Mus musculus: one gene and its partners. The protein of the gene in region 5 purifies or fractionates together with the protein of the main gene of each other region. This does not show direct contact. Links are inferred from orthologs where the notes say so. Each region holds a gene or a part of one and is shown on either strand. Other genes may lie near its edges. The genes, in order: Ppp2cb, Ppp2r3c, Cep78, Cep350 and Cep43.

Region 1 (3,699 bases), on a different chromosome or scaffold from region 5:
AATTCCTGTTTTTAGGTTAAAGGAGACAACCTAGCTCAGCTTTTAAAGTCCCTTCTGTTAGATTTAGAATATAGTTATTAAAGCAATCTACATTTTGCACTTAAAATTATGAATAAATTAATATGAACCACCTAATGAAATGCTTAGATATGCAACAATCGCCTTTTCAGTGGTCTAACAGTTATCAGTATTTTGACTTTGTTCTGCTTTTGAGTGTAAACTATAAACAAACATTACTTCTGCAGTACCTGTGCACATAACTTGGAATTGAATATAAGGCCTGGGGTGAACACCCCACCAGGCGAATATGTCAGTACAGCTGCCTACTGTTATTACTCAGCAGATATCTGTGGCCTAGCAAGGAGCCCCATACTGGCAATTCTATCCCTCGGAAGGAGAGCCAGGAGTATCAAGGAGATTCAAAGTCTAAAAAACAACCAGCCACAGTTCTAAGTATTTGTATAAAGTTTCAAAATGGCGATGCTTCCATTTAATGTACATCACAGTTAAAAAATGTTTTTCTCTAAATCGGAAATTTTATTTGTTCAGTACACCAAATAGGATGCAAGCACTGTCATGACAAATATACAGAAATATGCAGCTCAACATCCAACAGTAATTTAGTTTAGGAAACTTTAAAGGAAATCTCTTTAATGTTATGACAACATACTCCCAAGAATCTCTTCTTCAGTTAGTCATACATTTCAATAAAATAAAGGATTATGAATTGAAGTGGAAGTCAGCTTGTGAATTCTTAAAAAATAAAACTCCAACTCTATAATCCATGCCAGTTAAACTTGTTAACTAAATTTCCAAGTAAGCGCAAAGGAGACGAAGCAGTCAGTGACCCTTTTTGCTTAACCAGTCAAGAAAAATGGTCACTACCGCCCAGCAGGCAGGCTGTGGGCTGACTCATCTACAACAGTGTGCTAGAGTTCACATTGTGCTAACCGCTCATCATTAGTATGGCACGTTTTGGTCCATGATGTGTTTTAATGTCAAGACATATCACAATTTGTTACAGAAACACAAATAACTGTTGTTTTTAAATATATATGTATATATATATATTTTAAAAAGCCAGGTATACTTCCACATACAAAGACAGGTCCTGGGGAGGAATTTACAGGAAGTAGTCTGGGGTGCGCCGGGTCACATGAGGCTCTCCACGACGAGGTGCTGGGTCAAACTGAAGACTAAAAATGACAAAGAAAATGGTCAGCAAGTAAGCCAGCCAGTAAGACGGAACAGACTGAGCCTCCTTCCTGTAGCTTTCAGCAACGCTGCATCCCACGTGGCTGGGATGACCCTGAACTCATTCGTCACTAGCAACCACACAGTTAGCACTTCACAGCTATGGTGAAAATGTACACGTCTGTTTGTGCCCAGCAGAAGAGAACACTGAATTTTACCAAGTGCCTTTTCTGTCAAAATAGCTATTTGTCTGTTGTGTGTGTGTTTTAATATTAATGTTAGTACACTGACTTTTTCCTATTTTTTTTTATCAACACTGTGGTCTTGGGATAAATAAATGCTATTTGTGTTTTCCTTCTCCAACAGTCCTGAAAGGATGCAACTAACCATAGTAATACGCAAACACTCACAGGAGTCAGGATGTATTCCCAATTTTTTGCCGCTGTAGTTGAGATGTGGTTTCATATAGCCTACAGTGGCCCCAAACTCGCAGCACAGGCTGTGAAATCCTGATCTCCCTGGCTCTACCTTGTCAGTACTGGGATTACAGGCATGCAAGTAGCACCATGCATACATAGCAAGTGTTTTATTTGACAAATGTTTCTGAAACCAGGTTTCATGTATTCCAGGCTGGCCTTGACTCAAACCAACCTGCTTCCATTTCCCAAGTCCTGGGATTACATACGTGCATCACCATGGCCAGTTTACAATGATGGGCTTGAACCCAGGATTTCGTGTATGCTAGGATAAACAGAGTACCAAGAAGGCCGTAACGCCCAGTAGTAAAGGCTTTATTAAACCTAAAATAAGTCAATTTTTAAAAAGGTTTGTTTATGTATACGAGTACACTGTAGCTGTCTTCAGACACCCCAGAAGGTGGCATCAGATTCCCATTACAGATGGTTGTGAGCCACCATGTGCTGGGAATTGAATTTAGGACCTCTGGAAGAGCAGTCAGTGCTCTTAACCTCTGAGCCATCTCTCCAGCCCCAAATAAGTGACTTTTAGTTACATGTATGTCAGATCCCTGGAACTGAAACTAGAGGTGGTTGTGAGCTGCAGTGTAAGCGCTGGGAATGAAGATGGTATCCGTGGAAGGTCAGCCGTGCTGGCCACCAAGGCACTTCCTAGGCCCCCGGGCGGTTACAGTTCCTCTTTTTGTCTGAGTCTTGTTTGTCTTTCTAAGATAGGGTATGTCTGTAGTCCTTGCTGTCCTGAAATTCATGTAGAGCATACACCAGACTGGCTCAAACCCATCTCTGCTTCTGCCTCCAGAGTGCTAGGATTAAGAACTTGTACCACCACACCCGGCTTATGGTTCTCTTAAATGTTTTTCTATTAGCTGTAAGCTCTTGGGAAAGTTTCAATAAACTGTAGGCAGAGGCGGGTGGATCTCTGTGAATTTGGAGCCAGCCTGGTCTACAGAGTGAGTTCCAGGACAGCCAGAGCTACAAAGAGAAACTTTGTCTTGAAAAAAAACAAAACAAAAAAAACCCCACTTTCTGCAGCAGTGGCCTAGCAATGCAGGAGGCCATGGTTTACGAGTGCTGCACATCAGAAAGTTCTTGAGTTCAATGTTGGGGAAGAGGGTCTGCACGCACACTCCTCCTCCTCCCCTGTCATAAGCAGAGCTCTTTTTTTTTTTTTTTTTTTTTTGGTTTTTTGAGACAGGGTTTCTCTGTATAGCCCTGGCTGTCCTGGAACTCACTCTGTAGACCAGGCTGGCCTCGAAATCAGAAATCCTCTTGCCTCTGCCTCCTGAGTGCTGGGATTAAAGGCATGTGCCATCACGCCCGGCTTCCTGTCTCTTTTCATACATGCATGTGTGTATGAGTGTATGCACACATGTGTGCAGGTATCTATGGAAGTCATACTAGACTGTAGTTAAGTGCTCTGAGCTGCTGAGCCACCTCTCCAGCTCCCAAGGCTATTTTCCTCTAAAAGTCATTACATACAATTAAAATGTAAAGTTACTTACAATGAATATTTTAAAGTGTCATCTAATTCCATGATAGCAGCCTGGTTCCCACAACGGTAGCAGTAATTGGGCGCACTAAAAATGGTGACCACATTCCGATCATGGCACCAGTTATATCCCTGCAACATTAAAAAGGTCATTGTTTCATTATAAAATCCAATTTTGACAGATCAAGTCACAAATACTTCGGTGGCTATGTTACCTTTTATAATCTAAGTTTATGCAACTGTTCAGACTTTTAAACATTTATTAGGTACAAGATTCTATTATATACCTCAGTAACCATACAGCTTTTCTTAACCTACACTTAAGATTTTAACTTAGAATATACACTGAATTTCTCAGAAAACCATAGTAACTTCCCCATTTTCCTTCATAAACTTTGCTAAGTATTTTATTTTATTTTGAGAAAGAATTTTGCTATTTAGACTACCCTGTTCTCAAACTTGCAATTGCCCCAGCCTCCCAAGTGCTGAGACATGATAGAAATGAGCCTGGCTTCTAAAGTTTGCTACTAAGTTTGCTTG
Region 2 (3,515 bases), on a different chromosome or scaffold from region 5:
GGTGTTTTCAAGAAGCCTGTATTAACATATTTTGGAGTTGTTATGAATCTCCTAAGACTATGTGGTCTGCAGAATCTTACTGTGTACCGTTGATAATTAATACCTTAGCTGCAGTGATTAACCCCAGGAGGATACAGGCTTCACTGAAGACACAATGTAGTGCCAGCTCTCTCTGTTTGGTGGAACACCAATATCCCCAAGGGTATCCGTTTTACCGTCGTTGTAAACATGGCAGAACTGTTGAGATCTGCTGTTTCATGTCTTTTTCTTTTGGCTTAAATGTCTTCCAGGTCGCCGATTACTTATGTGTGTAAAATGGGGTTTTGTGGAGTTTTTGAATTGGCCTACACTTCTAGCGCCTTACTCTTTTGTTCATATATGTGCTAAAGAACAGATGTTAGTATTTACGTGCAATTTTCCCGTTTGTCAGTTTGGCTGCATCAGACAAGAATAGGACTCAGTTTATATGATGTTGCTGGCCAAGGATACCTTCGGGAATCAGTGAGTATTGACCTAAATTTAATAAACATTATAGACAACAGAATATTAACACTAATTACCACCAACTAGTTGTCATTGTAGCTAAGACTTACGTTGCTTGATTTTATCTTAATAAGTTTGGTTTGCCTGGTTTTGCCTTTGTAAACGTTTAACTTTAGTATATGTTAACCACGTAAATAGTCTTTTGGGTTCTTTTTTTTTTTTTCAGCCTTTAGAAAAATACTTTGATCTTTTTTCAAAGGAAAATGAAGCTGAGCATCCTAGCACATGTTTCTAATCCAGGCATTTTACAGCTGAGGCAGGAGGATTATTGGGAGTTCAGAGGTAGCTGAAGCTCCATGTAGAGTTCCAGACCAACCTGAGCTATATAACAAACTTTTTTTTTTTTTTGGTTTTTTTTTTTTTTTTTTGGTTTCTTGAGACAGAGTTCCTCTGTGTAGCCCTGGCTGTCCTGGAACTCACTCTGTAAATCAGGCTGGCCTCAAACTCAGAAATCCACCTGTCTCTTATAACAAACATTATTAATGAGTAAATAGAATGTATCTAAAACAGGTTTTAAAACTGATTAACAAGGTGGGCTGGAGAGATAGCTCAGCAGTTAAGAGTACTGTCTGCTCTTCTACAGGTCATGAGTTCAATTCCCAGCAACCACATGGTGGCTCACAACTATCTGTGGTTGTATCCGATGCTCTCTTCTGGTGTGTCAGTGATGAAATGCTCATATACACCAAATAAATCTTAATAAAAAAGCAAAACCAAGAAACGAATTGACGAGTGAAGTATGGTGCCACACACCTGTAATCCTAGCTTAGGAGGCCAGGATACAAGGACCACTGCAAGTTTGCAGCTAGCCTGCTCCAAATAGAGAGTGCCAAGGTGGTAGGGCTGTGTAATGAGACCTTGTCTTCAAGATCCAAAAGAAAAGAAAGGAATTACTGAAGAAAAAAAGGTTTTGTATGTGTGTTTGGCGTATGCAAGGGCAGACGTGGAGCCCTGAGGTTGAGTTGATTTCAGGAACCATCTTTATTTACTCTTTCTTCTTACTCGTTGAGGTGGGCTCTTTGAGTCAAACCTGGAGCTCGCTATATGGCTAGTTTGATAGCCAGCTTGCTCTGGGGATCCCTGGGTCGCTCTTCTAAGGCTGATGTTACAGGAGGATCACCAGCATGCTCTCATTTACGTAGGCTCTTGGATCTGACTCCAGTTCTTCCACTTGCATAGCAAGTGCAGTAACCACTGAGCCATCTCCCTAGCCAGCCCCTCTAGGGGCTAGAAAGAGAAGTAGTATGGCTCACACATGCCAGGGAACACGGGAAGGTTAAGGACAACTTCGTGTCCTTGGTTCTTTCTCCACCTGTCCATGGGTTTCAGGGCTCAGACTCAGGTCTTTGAGCTTGCACAGCAAGCTCTTCATCGCACCTCAGCAGCTCTTGGGTATTCTCATATGCGCAGTATTTTATTTTGGAAAAGACGAGGGAATTCCTTTTTTATAGAATAGAGGGGAAAAAATCTCATGTGGCTTTGTTTTTACCCACAGGTTTAGAGGGACATGGTAAGTTACCAGGAGGATATTTGTTTCCTATCAGGTGTGCATGTCATTAGGTCAGGTTATGATGGGATTGACACCTCTTGATCAAAATGGCTATGCTACTTCCATATTTTTGGCAACTATCTAAATTATGTAGGTATATTTTTTGGCTTATATTTTTCTCTCTAAAACGGAGCCCGCTTATAGAGCTCAAAGGAGAAAGGTATGTTGGGCATAAATGTCAGCCACTGAGTTAACTATTCAGAGGTGTTTAATCATCCTCTTGTCCTTCCCAAGGATAATGTAGAGTTCTTGTCCTTTAATGCAGATCAACATTGTAGTATAGACTCTTGTTCCTGCCGGTCTGTAAAAATGGGAGCCTGTGTGTCCAGAGTAAAAGCTAAGGTGGCAGGGAGGTCCAATAGACAGTGATCACATACTGAGCCTTTTATTAATCCCAAAGATCCCTTCAAAAGCTAAAAATACACATTTTGCACATCCTACCTTCACCTCTACCACACTGGGAGGGAAAGGAAGGAAGGAAGGAAGGAAGAACAAAGGAAAGAAAAGGGAGTGAAAAGGAAAGAAGAAAGGAAAACTGAAAGAAATCACAGGCCTTGCTGCTAGGTTGGATGTGTGGCATAGGGAATGGGACTCGGGGAAAGGAACTGAAGAAGTCAAAGCTGAGTCCGAAATTTTATTTTGATAATATAGAGTGGGGGAATGGGAGAGCCCATGAAGGCTCTGGGAAGAGATCATTTTAGATACCCGGTTTGAGTGCTTGTTCTTTTATGAATTTAGAGTCTCTGATCTGTCGGGCAAATGCTAAAATAGAGCGAAAATGAAATTGTTAAAATAAATACAAAACGCCACAGGAGACTCATATTTGCTAATTTGGGTTTTGTGAGTCAGAGTCTCACCTTGCAGCCTTTGTAGCCAGCCTGGACTTGAACTTGCAGTGATCCTTCTGCCTCTACCTCCTCCCAGGTATTGGGAATACAGGTGTGCCAGAGAGTTTAAATATAGTGACTTGCTGCCCTAATATGGTGTCTTTTGCTGTAATGAAATGCTCCAACCAGAGCAATCTTAAGAGAGAAAGGGTTTGATTGGGTTTGCAATTCTAGCTTCCCGTCTGTCCCCGTGGGAAGTCAGGGCAGACAGCTGACAACTTGCTTTGTCCCAGGACCTGGAGAACTACATCCTGGAGCTGATCCCGACGCTGCCACAGCTGGACGGGCTGGAGAAGTCCTTCTACTCCTTCTATGTCTGCACTGCAGTCAGGAAGTTCTTCTTCTTCTTGGACCCTCTAAGAACAGGTAAAAGCATTGTCTAATTTAAAAACTAGGATATTATTTGTTGATAGTGTCTTAGTACTAGACAAATTTGGACAATTTCTCTTTGTTTTTAAAGTTAGTGGCATAATCTGGCACATCTCGGAGAGTGGGCAAGTGTACAAGCCCACACACTTCCCTTTATATGGAGAGCT
Region 3 (4,162 bases), on a different chromosome or scaffold from region 5:
CCAATGACAGACTAAAAACAACAAACTTATGTTTTAAAAGAAGTGAATGAGGACACAAAAGACTTAACTGTGGACATTTAGCCTGTCATTCATAATGTCTCTTGAATATAGTATGCCTTATAAACAGAAAATCAAACTCATACCTCAGGAATTTATAAATGTGCTTTAAAGTATTTCAGAGAAATGGCTTAGCACTTAGGTGCACTTAACTGCCCTTCCAGAGGACTGGGTTCCATTCCCAGCACCTATGGTGGGTGGGTCACAAATGTCTCAAATGCCTATAACTTCAGGTCCAAGGCATCTGACGCCCCTTTCTGATATCCCTAAGCACTGTGTACACGTGTCACTCACACACACACACACACACACTGAATAAAAATATAAGCAAATCTTTTACAAATGTAACTGAAATGGTGGCTAGAGACAGCTCTTCTTTCAGAGGCTCTGAGTCTGGTTCCCAGCACCTACACTGACTGGCTCACTACCACCTGTAACACCAGTTCCAGAGGATCTGATGCCTTCTTCTGGTCACTCTGGACACTTGCACACAGATAGCATACAGGCACGTACCCATAAATAAATCCTTAAAAAGAATAAAACAGACTGATGTATTTATTACCCAGAGTTCACTTTGTTTCTGCTCAAAGTAATTCATTTTAATGCATAACTAAATAACATGACATAGGGAATAAAATAGCTCAACTTAACCACTGCTGAGTGAATCCCAAGTTCACTTTCCATAGCTATTATGCTCAATGTTACTAACTCTGTTAAAATCATTAATAATAAAACCGTAATGAAATTATGGTCTCTCTGTGATACAGGAGTCGTCTTCGAGTTTATTTAGAGTACTAACATTGAAAACTAGTAAGAGTTCGAGGCCAACCTAGTCTACAAAGTGAGTTCCAGGACAGCCAGGACTGTTATACAGAGAAACGTTGTCTCAAACAACACATAGAGAGATAGAGAGGGAGAGAAATATCCACCATCAATGGAGGATACTAAGCTAAACTCTAGCTTTGCCTAACCCAAAGAAGAGAGGAAGGAAGCCACCTGGTTTGCATACGTGTTGGGAAATTCTTCTTGTGACTTCTCTCGGTGAGGAAGCATAAACAGTTGAGCGCTTCTAACAGTCTTCTCGAGGCTAAACCCGCTTCTCAGTTCTCAGGTCAAGCCCGGTTCTCAGGTCGTCACTCCATTGCACCTCACTTTTGGTACCCAGAGGCGCGCTCACTGCAGAGCATCTACTCGCCTCCAGCTGATGGCGCGTTGGACGTAGCGAGCCCGGGTGGGCGTGGCCCGCGCTCTGACGCACAGCGAGCGCGCCGACGCATGCGCACGTCGCCCGCGGGAGCTCGCCGGTGACTAGAACGGCGGCGGCGGCTCCCAGAGCGGGCGCTAACCGCCCGAGGCGTGGCGGGAGGCGGCGCGGGGCGGCTGGTGGAGGTCCCCGGGGTTGCCGGTCATGATCGACTCGGTGAAGCTCCGGCGCGACTGCGCGGCCGACTTCTTCTCGCACTACGAGTACCTGTGCGCGCTGCAGGACTCCGTGCCGCTGCCCGCCGTGCGCGCCTGCCTGCGGGACGGCGTGCTGGACTTCAATGCCGACCGGCTGCGCGCGGTGGACTGGGCACCGCTGCTCAGCACGCTCAGGGTGAACCGCGACCTGCCGCTGGTGGCCATCAAGAGCTCCTTCCAGCCGTGGCTCGGGGAAACAGTTCTGCGGTCCGGAGGTGCGAGGGTTTGGTCGGAGAAGTGGGAGCCCGGTGCAGGATCAGCCTGCGAAGCGGCCTCCACCTAGCCACAAAGGAGTTTTTGCCGCCGCCTCCCTTGCAGGTTGCCGCCTCGGTCCGTTGTCTGGAGTAGTCAAGCTAGGGAGTAGAACTCGACACTGCCCCTTATTACAGCGAGGATGACCAACTCTGCACCCCGAGGGGAATATGCGTGATAATTTAGCAAATGGTCCCTGCCCTCTCTTCTTTTAGGGGTTTAAATGTACAATCTCCCTTCATTCGTAATTGCAAGTTTAATACAGAAAAGGAGAAGGTTAAAGATGGAAAGAAAAAAATGTATAACAAAAAAATAATCAGGGACGTCTTTTTTGATTTTTAGAAAAATATTTGAGGGTTTTGCCTTCGCGTGTGTATGTGCACTATGTGTGTGCAGTGCCTGCGGAGTACAGAAAAGGGGGTAAGAGGTCGGAGTCCATATGTGAACCACCATATGGATGCTGGGAACCGAACTCGCATCCTTTGCAAGAGCAGCAAGTATGTCCAACCATTGAGCCATCTCTCCAGCCCAAGGGACTATTATTATTTGTTTCTTTTATTTATTTATTTATTTATTTATTTATTTATTTATTTATTTATTTATTTATTTATTTGAGAGACAGGGTTTCTCTGTGTAGCCCTGGCTATCTTGGAACTCACTCTGTAGACCAGGCTGGCCTTGAACTCAGAGTCTGGCCTGCCTCTGCCTCTCGAGTGCTGGGATTGAAGGCGTGCGCCACCACTGCCCGACTGGAACTATTATTTTTGACGAACCCGTTGTAAAACAGTTGACTCTGGTTATTTGCAGATAACGTATTTACAAGTTCCTTTCATTTGAATTTTTGTAACTCCCAGCCAAGTCTTTGTGGTGCTTCTATGGTCATTCATGAACACCCGCCCAGAAGCCAAAAAAAAAAAATTACCATCCAATATATATGTTCCTTACTGATTTGCATATTTGTGTGTTTGTGTATCTTAGTATTGGCGTATGTGCACACTCAGAAACAAGAAAGGGGTGTTGGGTGTCCTTTGATGGCTCTTCACCCATTTTTTAAATTTATTTTTTATTTTATTTTATTTATTTATTTTTTGAGAGAGACAGGGTCTGTTTTCTTAGTTTGGCTGGAAGCCAATAAGCCCCAACTGCTCTCTTGACTCCGCCCCTTCCATGCTGGAGTTAGAAGTCCTGCTCCTGACGCCTGGTTTATGTGGGTTCTGGGATCACGGAACTCCAGTGCAGCAAATGCCCTTAACTACTGGGCCATCCTTCCAGCTGATTTTTCACACTCCGTTTTATTTTTAGATTTGCAAATAGTTGTTTGTGTGTTTATATGTATGTGGCATGTGTGTGCACACACGTGTACGTGGCATGTGTACACATACACACGTTGTGTGCATAGAGTCTAGAGGTTGGCCCTGAATGTCTTTCAGCTTTCCCATTTGTTTACTCAGGCAGGTTCTTCTCCCCTTCCTGCCCCGCCCCCCCCCCCAGGGGACTCACTGATTCCTTTGTCTGGCTAGCTAGTTTGCCCTAGGGATCATCTTTTGTTCCTTCACAGATTACATATAGGCTTTTACTTTGCTGGCCATCCAAGTTTGGGTCCTCAACATTTTTTCCTGCAAGTACCTTTATCAGTCTGGTCATCTCAGTTCCTAATTTCCTTCTCTATCTCTTTCTCTTTCCTCCTTTCTTCCTTCTTTCCTTTCTCTCCCCCCCCCCCACCCCTTTGCTTTTTTATTTTTAAGAGTGGTATCATGTAAGGAAAACCTGTGTTGTAGGCAACCTAAGGCCAGAGTTTCATATTTTAAATTTAAATTCTCACACATATAAAATCCATTGAAACAAGCCTGTTGTGGATTCTTTGGTTAAAGCGTGTTGTGTGTGCTAAGTGTCTGCAAGTTACTATTGGAAAGGGAAGGTGTGATGAGCTAGATTTGCTAGGGGCAGATTTGAAAGTCTGGCCCTTGACTGCCATAGTAATGGCCCAGATTTAAGGAACGATGAAAGAAGATGACTTAGAGTCAAGGCAGGCCTACCTGATCATGCTAGTATTTTATGTCTAGCATAAGGCATTCTTTGCAATATTTCCATGTCTCATATCCAGTGGGTATAGGCTGTGGGTGTTAGCCTCCTAGACACGACTTGTTTCTCTCTCTCAGCTGTTTTGACTGTACTATTGAAGAAGCTCCTGGCTGGCTTTGCTGTCTTGAACTCAGTTTCCCTCTGTGTAGATGGTCTCACTTAGCACAGAACCAGCACCTACTAACTGCAGTTTGTGCCTCCTTTACACTCTCGCCAGACCTGCTGGAAGGGGTGCTTTTCCTAACCTGTGTGGTTTAGGTGCCTCTCTGGTCATCCCTTTGTCTAATTGGTAATTGGTCCAACATTGAGG
Region 4 (3,515 bases), on a different chromosome or scaffold from region 5:
CTTACAGTGTGGAGGGAAAGCATCTCAAACACTCAGACTGCAGTCACCTAAAAGTTTGTTTATATAGAACATATAAAAGGAAATCAATGGTATATCTTTAAAGAGAAATCACTTCAGAGTTGAGTTTTTAAAAGAACCACTGCTCTTTTAAAAATAAACACTTTACTTATGTGCTTATGTGTGCACATATAAGCATATTCCCATAGGAGGCCAGAGGAGGGTGCTGGACTCCTTGGGGTTGGAGTTACAGTCTGTTGTGAGCCACCCAAAATGGGTGGGTGCTGGGAACTGAACTTGGGTCCTTTGTAAGAGTAGAACACACGCTTAACTGCTCAGTTCTCTCCAGCACGTCACTGCTAACTTCAAAGCAGAGAAACTGGTGAAGAAAACCTAACATGTAACTCTGACCTGGAAAGGCCACATGAGCAGTTAGGAGAATACTACACTAGAAGAGCACACGCCTCCATCTCAAACGTTACATAAAACACTGCCAACGCTTCAGAAAGAGGAGGCATGGCAAAGTTCTGCTGCCTTGTTTTGGTTTTTGAGATAGAGTATTATTTTGAGATAGAGTATGGCCCAGGCTGGCCTCAAACTCATTGTAATCCTCGTGCCTCAGCTTAGGTATGCCAAGATGGTAGGCATGTGCCACTGCATCTGTAGCATGGGACTTTAACTATTAACGGTGTCTAATCAACCATCCTTAAAAATCCATTTCAAGTTAAAAATATTAAAAACTTAATACTAAAGTGAGTATGCAGTGTGTACTCTATGCTTCATGTATACACATATGATATACAGTATCTAGTCTATGCTTCATGTATATACATATGATATGCAGTTTAATGATGGCCTTTATATTAGGTGTCTTGTCTTATTTTAGCTTATTATGTTATTAACAATTTATTTTTACTACTTTTGAAGGTATTTCAATAGACAATGATCTCAGTGGAGGAGAAAGATATATTTATAAATCAGAATCGTTGGACAAGATTCTCAAACTGCTGATGTGAGCCCCAATTCTACTCCTCTGTCTGTAGACAGGCACATGATGTACTCAAGAGATGTATTAACTTGGATGAGTGGAAGGTATAAAACGTGCAGTGTACTGTGAAAACGTCTCTGTGAAGGATCAAATGTAAGTAGCTCAGGCTCTGTGGGCCACATGGTCTTCGCCATCTGCCTTCTGTCTACTAACTGTACTACTGCAGCAGAAGGTAAGCACACGGACGTCTGCCTGTGGTCCAACAGTACTTGATTGGTAAAGGCTATGGCTAGATAAAGCCCATGGCTCATAGTTTGCCAACCTCTGACCACACATAACATAGCTTATAGATAAATTGGTGTCTGCAAACATAAAATCTTTTTAGAAGACTTTTTAGGATTAAGAAAGTTTGAAAAACTCAACTCCTAAGCCTCATTGCTCAAGAATAACCCTGGAATCGACAGTATTAACTGTACACTTGAGAGCAGAATTTCAGGCTCCTTTCTCAAAAGCTCCATTTTAAACACCCCAGATGATTTTTATGTACATACATTAACTCTGAGAAGTACTGCTCTGAAAAGGAGACTTCTGTAGCCAGGCCTGGTGGCTCAAGGATGTTATCTTAGCACTTGGGAGTCTCAAAGACAAAGGACTATGACTTCAAAGTCAGCATAGGCCCTATCTCAAACAACACACAACAAAAACAACAACAAAACTTGCTGACAGAAGAAAATACATGAATATATGGGATAGACTACACCAGCATGCATGTAAGACCTGACTGCCCAGTGTCTAAAGGCCAGGAGTCAATACTATTACTGTTGACTCCATGAACAACTACTCATGTATATATAGACAAGTGCCCACTTCTATGTCACTTATAGACCTGTATAAATACAAAGGAAACCAAAAGAGATAATAGAGTTTGCAACTTACCTTGATTTCATCAAGATTATTTGGATTTTTCACACGTCGGAAATAACTAGAATTGATTCTGCATGGCTTCATCCAGACAGGCTGATTCACGTTGGGATCCTCAGCAAATATTTCCTCAAAAATCTCTTTTGTTAAATCAAAAACCGCCTTAACAGAGAGAAAAGAAAAGAAAGGGGGAAAAAAAGAACAAAACGACAGTAAGAAAGTGGTCGAGAATCCAGATTTCAGACAATGGGTGGGAAGCGAAGAACAGCGGTGCTTTGTTACCTGTTTGTAGACTCTTCTACTTGTGCTGCCTATGTCTAGACCTTTGCTGGCACCACCAAGGAACGTGGTAGGAAGACTGAGGCCATGAAGGTCCTGACCCAACTCTTTCCATTTCCAAAGCTCCTCTGCTGCATTATGGACAAGGCTTTCTACTTCCTCTGCCGTATGGGGAACTGCCAATAATGTCTCACATGGCTTCTGGGGTGCTCGCTTAGGTTCTGCCATTAGAGGTACGATTGTTTCTTCTGCCTTATTCTTTTGGATCTTGTGAGAAGAGCTCAAACCAAAATCTTCATCAAACCAGTCTTGATCATCTAATGCGCTCAGGAACTCTCGGCTGATCTCAAGTTCAGCAAGTCTCTTAGCTAGCTCTTCCTGCCCACTGGCACCAAACACTGGGCTCTCCTATAGAAATAAACATTCAAATAAAGGACCATTTAGTGACTTTGCCTTACCTAACAGCTTTTGAAAGATAATGCACACCTATTACTTACGTGTTTTAATATCTCTGTAAGAAATGCAAAATTACAATATAATGGTCACTGATGAATAAGAAAAATCTATCTTCTTTCCACTCTTTTGCTTATATAAACCTAGTCATTAAATTTTATAATAAAATATTTATTCATTAGTTTTTTTTTTCCTTTTACATATCATGAATCATTCTATTTCTGAAGGACTATCACTAGGATTCTGACATGGGAAATGAAAAGCCTTACCTTTGGTGATTATCTGGCTCAAGTTAATCAAAATCATCCCTTTCCTTAGTTATCCATGGGCAACCTACACAGCTGACAGTCTGAGTCTATGTCATAGAGGCTCTGTTTCAGTTTTATCAGAATCATCACCACAACTGCTAATCTCTGTAGGGAACCATTACTGAATAGACGAGTGAAAGAGACCTGGGCTGAGAACCACTGGGAAGTTCCAAGGAATGTGGAAAGAGATATAACATGTGGACTGTATATAGGGGCCATCAACAGAGTAGTTTAAAAGAAGTTTCAGTTTCTACAACCTGACAGTGTTCATGACAACCCTATGGTGACTACTCATGACATAACAGAGGGCAATTATACCTCAGATGGAAAAACAGCTACAAGTCCTCTAAAAATAGTATTTAATAAGCAGCAGGCTGGGGAAATGTCATCCCAAACAGAACTAGTGGATGCTACAAAGGAAGGCAATCAGACTCTTCTCTAGATAAATACTCACAGGTCTGGGACACATATCAGGAGAAGAAATCTCTTCTTTTTCATCTTCCAATTCAGACCTTAAAAAGCAACTTGGAACACTGGGTGATTGTTCTTCAGTATTTTGGGGTAGGTCT
Region 5 (3,994 bases):
CCAGCAGGTGAGCTAGTCATTCCACCCTCAAATATTTTCTAAAGATAAATCCCAGATCCCAGCAAAGATCTGGACATGACCATTCACAGCAGCATTATCCACAAGTGAAAAACAGGGACAACCCAAATGTGGTATCAAAGCGTAAGTGGCTAAGCAAATAAAACTATCCACTCAGTGACTAATGCAACAATCTACCATTCCTGAAAACAGGACTAAGTGGAATAATAAGATACACTACAGCATTATGATGATTATCAGACATAAGTGAATTTTACACATTCCCATTTGCATGGCTTTGAAACTAACTGAGATGCTGGGGAAGGTTGGGGAAGGCAAACTCAAAGGGTTGTGCCTAGATTTTCTTTCTTGGTTGTGTTCCTCACATTCCATAAATAGTAAAGTTTATCAAATCTGACATTTTAAGGTATGCATTTACAGAAACAACTATACCTTAAGTTAAAGAGGGAGAAAAATCACAGAAGTACATGGTATAGAGACTCTAGGACGCTGAGTTAACCGAACTGGTCTCTCAAGGAGACCAGAAGGACAGATTCAGGCATGTGCTACAAATGGCCAACCCAGGACAGCTGAAGACCTGAGACATAGGATGAGGGCACCCATGACAGATGGGGAGTAGCAAGTGTCACTCTGGAAAAGCTGTAACTAAGCCAAGAAGGGCAGGCAGACACTGCCAGGAGATGACAGAGCAAGGGCAGAGCAGGCCTGGAAAACTCATGGACATCAGTCTGTTACACGGCCTAACCTAACACGCAGGTCTGAAGCTCGGAACGGGAGCTGTGCACCAGACACGTGACAAAGTTACCAGTGGTGTTAAGGTTGCCTTGGGGAAGCTGCAGACTAAGCACTGGGGCAGGACACCGACAACTGAAGTATGGTACGCAGGGAGGAGATCTTAAAAGAAACCAAGGACTAGGCAAAAGGAAAACACTTAGAAAAAGGTTCCCAAGGTCAAAACATTTCCAAAAATGAAAGAGGGGTCACTGTTAGATGGTGCAACAGCCAGGCGAGCTGGGTGACAGCTGAAGCATACTCAAGTGGAGGAACCTTCTAGAATGTAGCAAGAGACGTTTCGGGTATAGCAGTACTGTGTTTAAATGTTTAATGGAGCAAGGGATACCTCGTAATAAAAAACATCATGAGATGTACAGTTCAAACTTTGCCTGTTAAAGCAGGAGAAAATCAAGAATAAAACGATTTTAAGAGCAATTAAACATTTTTGTGCTCAAAAGAGCCAGCAGAAAAGAAATCAAAGACACAGTATTTAACTAAGGAGATGAGAATACATAGCAGACAAAACCAAACAAATTATATTGGCAAGACCGAGCCTCTTCTCTGAAAGTAGGAGTACAGCTAGACGGATACAGGTAACCTTCCTGAACTGACAGACTGGGATAGCAGCAACAGGGCACAAGTTAGGACCCAGGAGCTTCTCTTGTTCCTGTGAGTGAAGGATCAGGTAAGAAAGCTAAAGGGGACCAGACGGGAGAACCCCAGACCCTGCTCAGTTACAACCCACCACTACGGAACTCACACAGTCACCTGGCTAAGTGACTTTTCTTTGGCAATGCTTATGCAGAAACAGGTTAAGAAAATAATTCACTGGATCAAATGATAATTACTGTTTAACTAGAAAGCAAAGAAACATGAGACTCCCAAGGGTGGACAATGGGACCCAGCCTGGCCAAGAACCAACCAGTAAGGATGAAGAGGAGAAAGTTAAGAGCAGGTAGGTTAAACAGGGCCACAGCCGTGGAAGGATGGAGGCAGATCTGTCACACAGTAAGACTTTGATTCTCCTGTGATTCTTACTGACAAGGAGTTACAGGACATTTACTCAGGATGGTTGCTGGGGCCTGGGGTAGGCAGAAAAGCCAAGTTATTAAACATTCAGGTCTCACTAGATTTCTTTTTTGGGGGGTGGGGGGATAAGATCAGAGATGTTTTTAAAGTAATGGTCAGATTTTTAACCAACCAATCAGAATTTGGGAAAAGGTTCCAGTGTGCATTCCTTACTGCCAAGACATTTGAAGTGTACTAGCTTATAAAAATTTCAAAGTAATACTTCCGGTAACTCAACGAACCGCTTTCACGTGACTCCTGCACCTGAGCCTTAGCTACTACTGTCTCCCGAAATTCCTGTGCTACTTTAAGGCCACTCTAAACGTGCAAAATGATTTAGAAAATGAGTATTGGTAAAAGCCCAATCCTTAGCCGTTCAGAAGCATCCCCGGTTAGTTACTGAACTATTTCAGGACGGCTTTTCATTTATTAGAAACCGGGCATTAAGAGGTACGGCATGAACAAGGTCTGGGGATCTCTTACCTCTACTTTTTCTTGTTCTTCTAGTGCTAAAAACACAGCCGCTCTGAGTTCAGCCTTCAAAAAAAAAAAAAAACCACAAGATTATAAGTCAGTTTCGCAACCTGAAAGAACGGGGGCAGACACGAGGGTGCCGGCCGCGCGGGCAGCGAGCGATGGAAGGCGACGGGCCTGTGCGCTCCACACCCGGCCCACGAACTCGGGCCAAGGCCCCACGGCCGCGTGGCCGCCTCGTGCCGGCGTCCCGCGCAGCCCCGAGCCCCGGCGGCCGCCCCGCCGCACCTTGATGCGGTTCAGCACGCCGCTGTTCTCCAGCGTCTGCACCAGCAGGTCGCGCAGCTCCGTGTCTTCCTCGGCCACCACCGCGGCGGTAGTCGCCGCCATCTTGCTTCTCCAAGACAACCACCCAAGCCGCGCTAACGGCCAACGGCCGCCGCGGAAGCCACCCGGCCCGCGAGCGCGCAGTCGCAGCCCCGCCCCTCACGCGGGGAAGAAGACCTACGGGGTGGGGCCTTCAGGCCGGTGTTTGGGTTTCATGACGCGAGGGGCGAGGTCTCAGCGTGTCGTTTATGGGCGGAGCCATGGACACGGGGCGGGGTCAGGCTCTGGTGACCGGGTCAGGCTCTGGTGACGCGCTCTGTGGCATATTAACAGAATTATATTAGAAATTTCACTAAATTGCACTTAATTTCCCCATTCCTGTGCGAGAGAAGAGTCCACTTTGGCTGAACTTACTGGCTCGACCCGCTTAGATGGCGGTGTCGGGGGGAGAGGCTCTGGGAGGGAGGGACAAGAGGAACTGCGGAGCGGAGACTCCAAGTGGGCGGAGTAAACTGCGGGGCGGGGCCTTCCAAGGGGTTGTTTCTAAGCGTGAGCAGCAAGTAGGCATTCTATTCTCGCCTCTGTGCGTGTATACTCGCTCAGCTTAAGCCGGTTTTGCTCGGCGGCGGGGTCTGCTGTCTCTGGAACCTTGCTCTTATTCTTTTGAAAGAGCAATCGGCCAGGAGAGGAAATTCCAGGCTGCCTCATACATGGGAAGCTTCAAACGTGTTGGCTTGGAACTTCACAAAGTTTCCCCATACCGGTCTGTAAAAGGGTTGTGGACTCATTTCCAACCACGCAAGTGGCCTGTGCAGTATGAATGCATATTCACGTAGGAATAAAGTTAAACGCTTTCTGTGCTGCTTTTTATGAGAGAAACTAGAAGAGTGGTTTTTTTGTTTGTTTTCCTACATCTTCCAAGAAAGGAACCATTGAGAGGTTAATTTTTAAGCCTGGCCTTAAGGAGAACAGTTAGGGGGTTAGAAGGGTCACACCGAACACTGAGGACATTGGTTAAGAGGGAGCAAAGAGTACTTCCCATGCTGGCAGTCTAATTACAATCGGGGCACAGGAAAGGAAATGGGTTTAATAGATCAGGAAAAACTAAGAGGAGTCCTTGTAGTGTGCAAACTTCAAGCTAGGGCCAGATGAAGGGGAGAGTGCTCCAGTAAAGGAAGAAACTCGTCTGTGTGCAGTGAAAGCAGCACTGGTGTAGTTGGCAGAAGGAACCAGGAATGGGGGTTGGGAGGCTGGTCCAATGCAGATGACACACTACTGTGGAGAATGACGGGCTTGAGGCATTAGCTGATCTGTAGATCGGATACTCAGAAAG

The links.
Region 1: the proteins of Cep43 (region 5) and Ppp2cb purify together in Homo sapiens (affinity purification with mass spectrometry; 4 studies listed by BioGRID and IntAct, counting the BioPlex papers as one, with this or other methods). This does not show direct contact. The link is inferred for Mus musculus from reciprocal best matches to the Homo sapiens genes CEP43 and PPP2CB.
Region 2: the proteins of Cep43 (region 5) and Ppp2r3c purify together in Homo sapiens (affinity purification with mass spectrometry; 3 studies listed by BioGRID and IntAct, counting the BioPlex papers as one, with this or other methods). This does not show direct contact. The link is inferred for Mus musculus from reciprocal best matches to the Homo sapiens genes CEP43 and PPP2R3C.
Region 3: the proteins of Cep43 (region 5) and Cep78 purify together in Homo sapiens (affinity purification with mass spectrometry; 3 studies listed by BioGRID and IntAct, with this or other methods). This does not show direct contact. The link is inferred for Mus musculus from reciprocal best matches to the Homo sapiens genes CEP43 and CEP78.
Region 4: the proteins of Cep43 (region 5) and Cep350 purify together in Homo sapiens (affinity purification with mass spectrometry; 6 studies listed by BioGRID and IntAct, counting the BioPlex papers as one, with this or other methods). This does not show direct contact. The link is inferred for Mus musculus from reciprocal best matches to the Homo sapiens genes CEP43 and CEP350.

The regions. Positions count from the first base shown.
Region 1 is NC_000074.6:33,616,619-33,620,317, reverse strand, and holds the end of Ppp2cb (serine/threonine-protein phosphatase 2A catalytic subunit beta isoform), read right to left. Parts: intron 3,292-3,699; coding exon 3,173-3,291; intron 1,197-3,172; coding exon 1,124-1,196; 3' UTR 514-1,123; downstream 1-513.
Region 2 is NC_000078.6:55,289,490-55,293,004, reverse strand, and holds part of Ppp2r3c (serine/threonine-protein phosphatase 2A regulatory subunit B'' subunit gamma), read left to right. Parts: intron 1-290; exon of another isoform or gene 291-430; coding exon 431-501; intron 502-3,212; coding exon 3,213-3,345; intron 3,346-3,515. UniProt on the Homo sapiens protein: May regulate MCM3AP phosphorylation through phosphatase recruitment. May act as a negative regulator of ABCB1 expression and function through the dephosphorylation of ABCB1 by TFPI2/PPP2R3C complex.
Region 3 is NC_000085.6:15,982,184-15,986,345, reverse strand, and holds the start of Cep78 (centrosomal protein of 78 kDa), read left to right. Parts: upstream 1-1,356; 5' UTR 1,357-1,465; coding exon 1,466-1,733; exon of another isoform or gene 1,734-1,836; intron 1,837-4,162. UniProt on the Homo sapiens protein: Centriole wall protein that localizes to mature centrioles and regulates centriole and cilia biogenesis. Involved in centrosome duplication: required for efficient PLK4 centrosomal localization and PLK4-induced overduplication of centrioles.
Region 4 is NC_000067.6:155,858,248-155,861,762, forward strand, and holds part of Cep350 (centrosome-associated protein 350), read right to left. Parts: coding exon 3,401-3,515; intron 2,594-3,400; coding exon 2,189-2,593; intron 2,069-2,188; coding exon 1,922-2,068; intron 1-1,921. UniProt on the Homo sapiens protein: Plays an essential role in centriole growth by stabilizing a procentriolar seed composed of at least, SASS6 and CPAP. Required for anchoring microtubules to the centrosomes and for the integrity of the microtubule network.
Region 5 is NC_000083.6:8,164,327-8,168,320, reverse strand, and holds the start of Cep43 (FGFR1 oncogene partner), read right to left. Parts: upstream 2,804-3,994; 5' UTR 2,725-2,803; coding exon 2,623-2,724; intron 2,398-2,622; coding exon 2,344-2,397; intron 1-2,343. UniProt on the Homo sapiens protein: Required for anchoring microtubules to the centrosomes. Required for ciliation.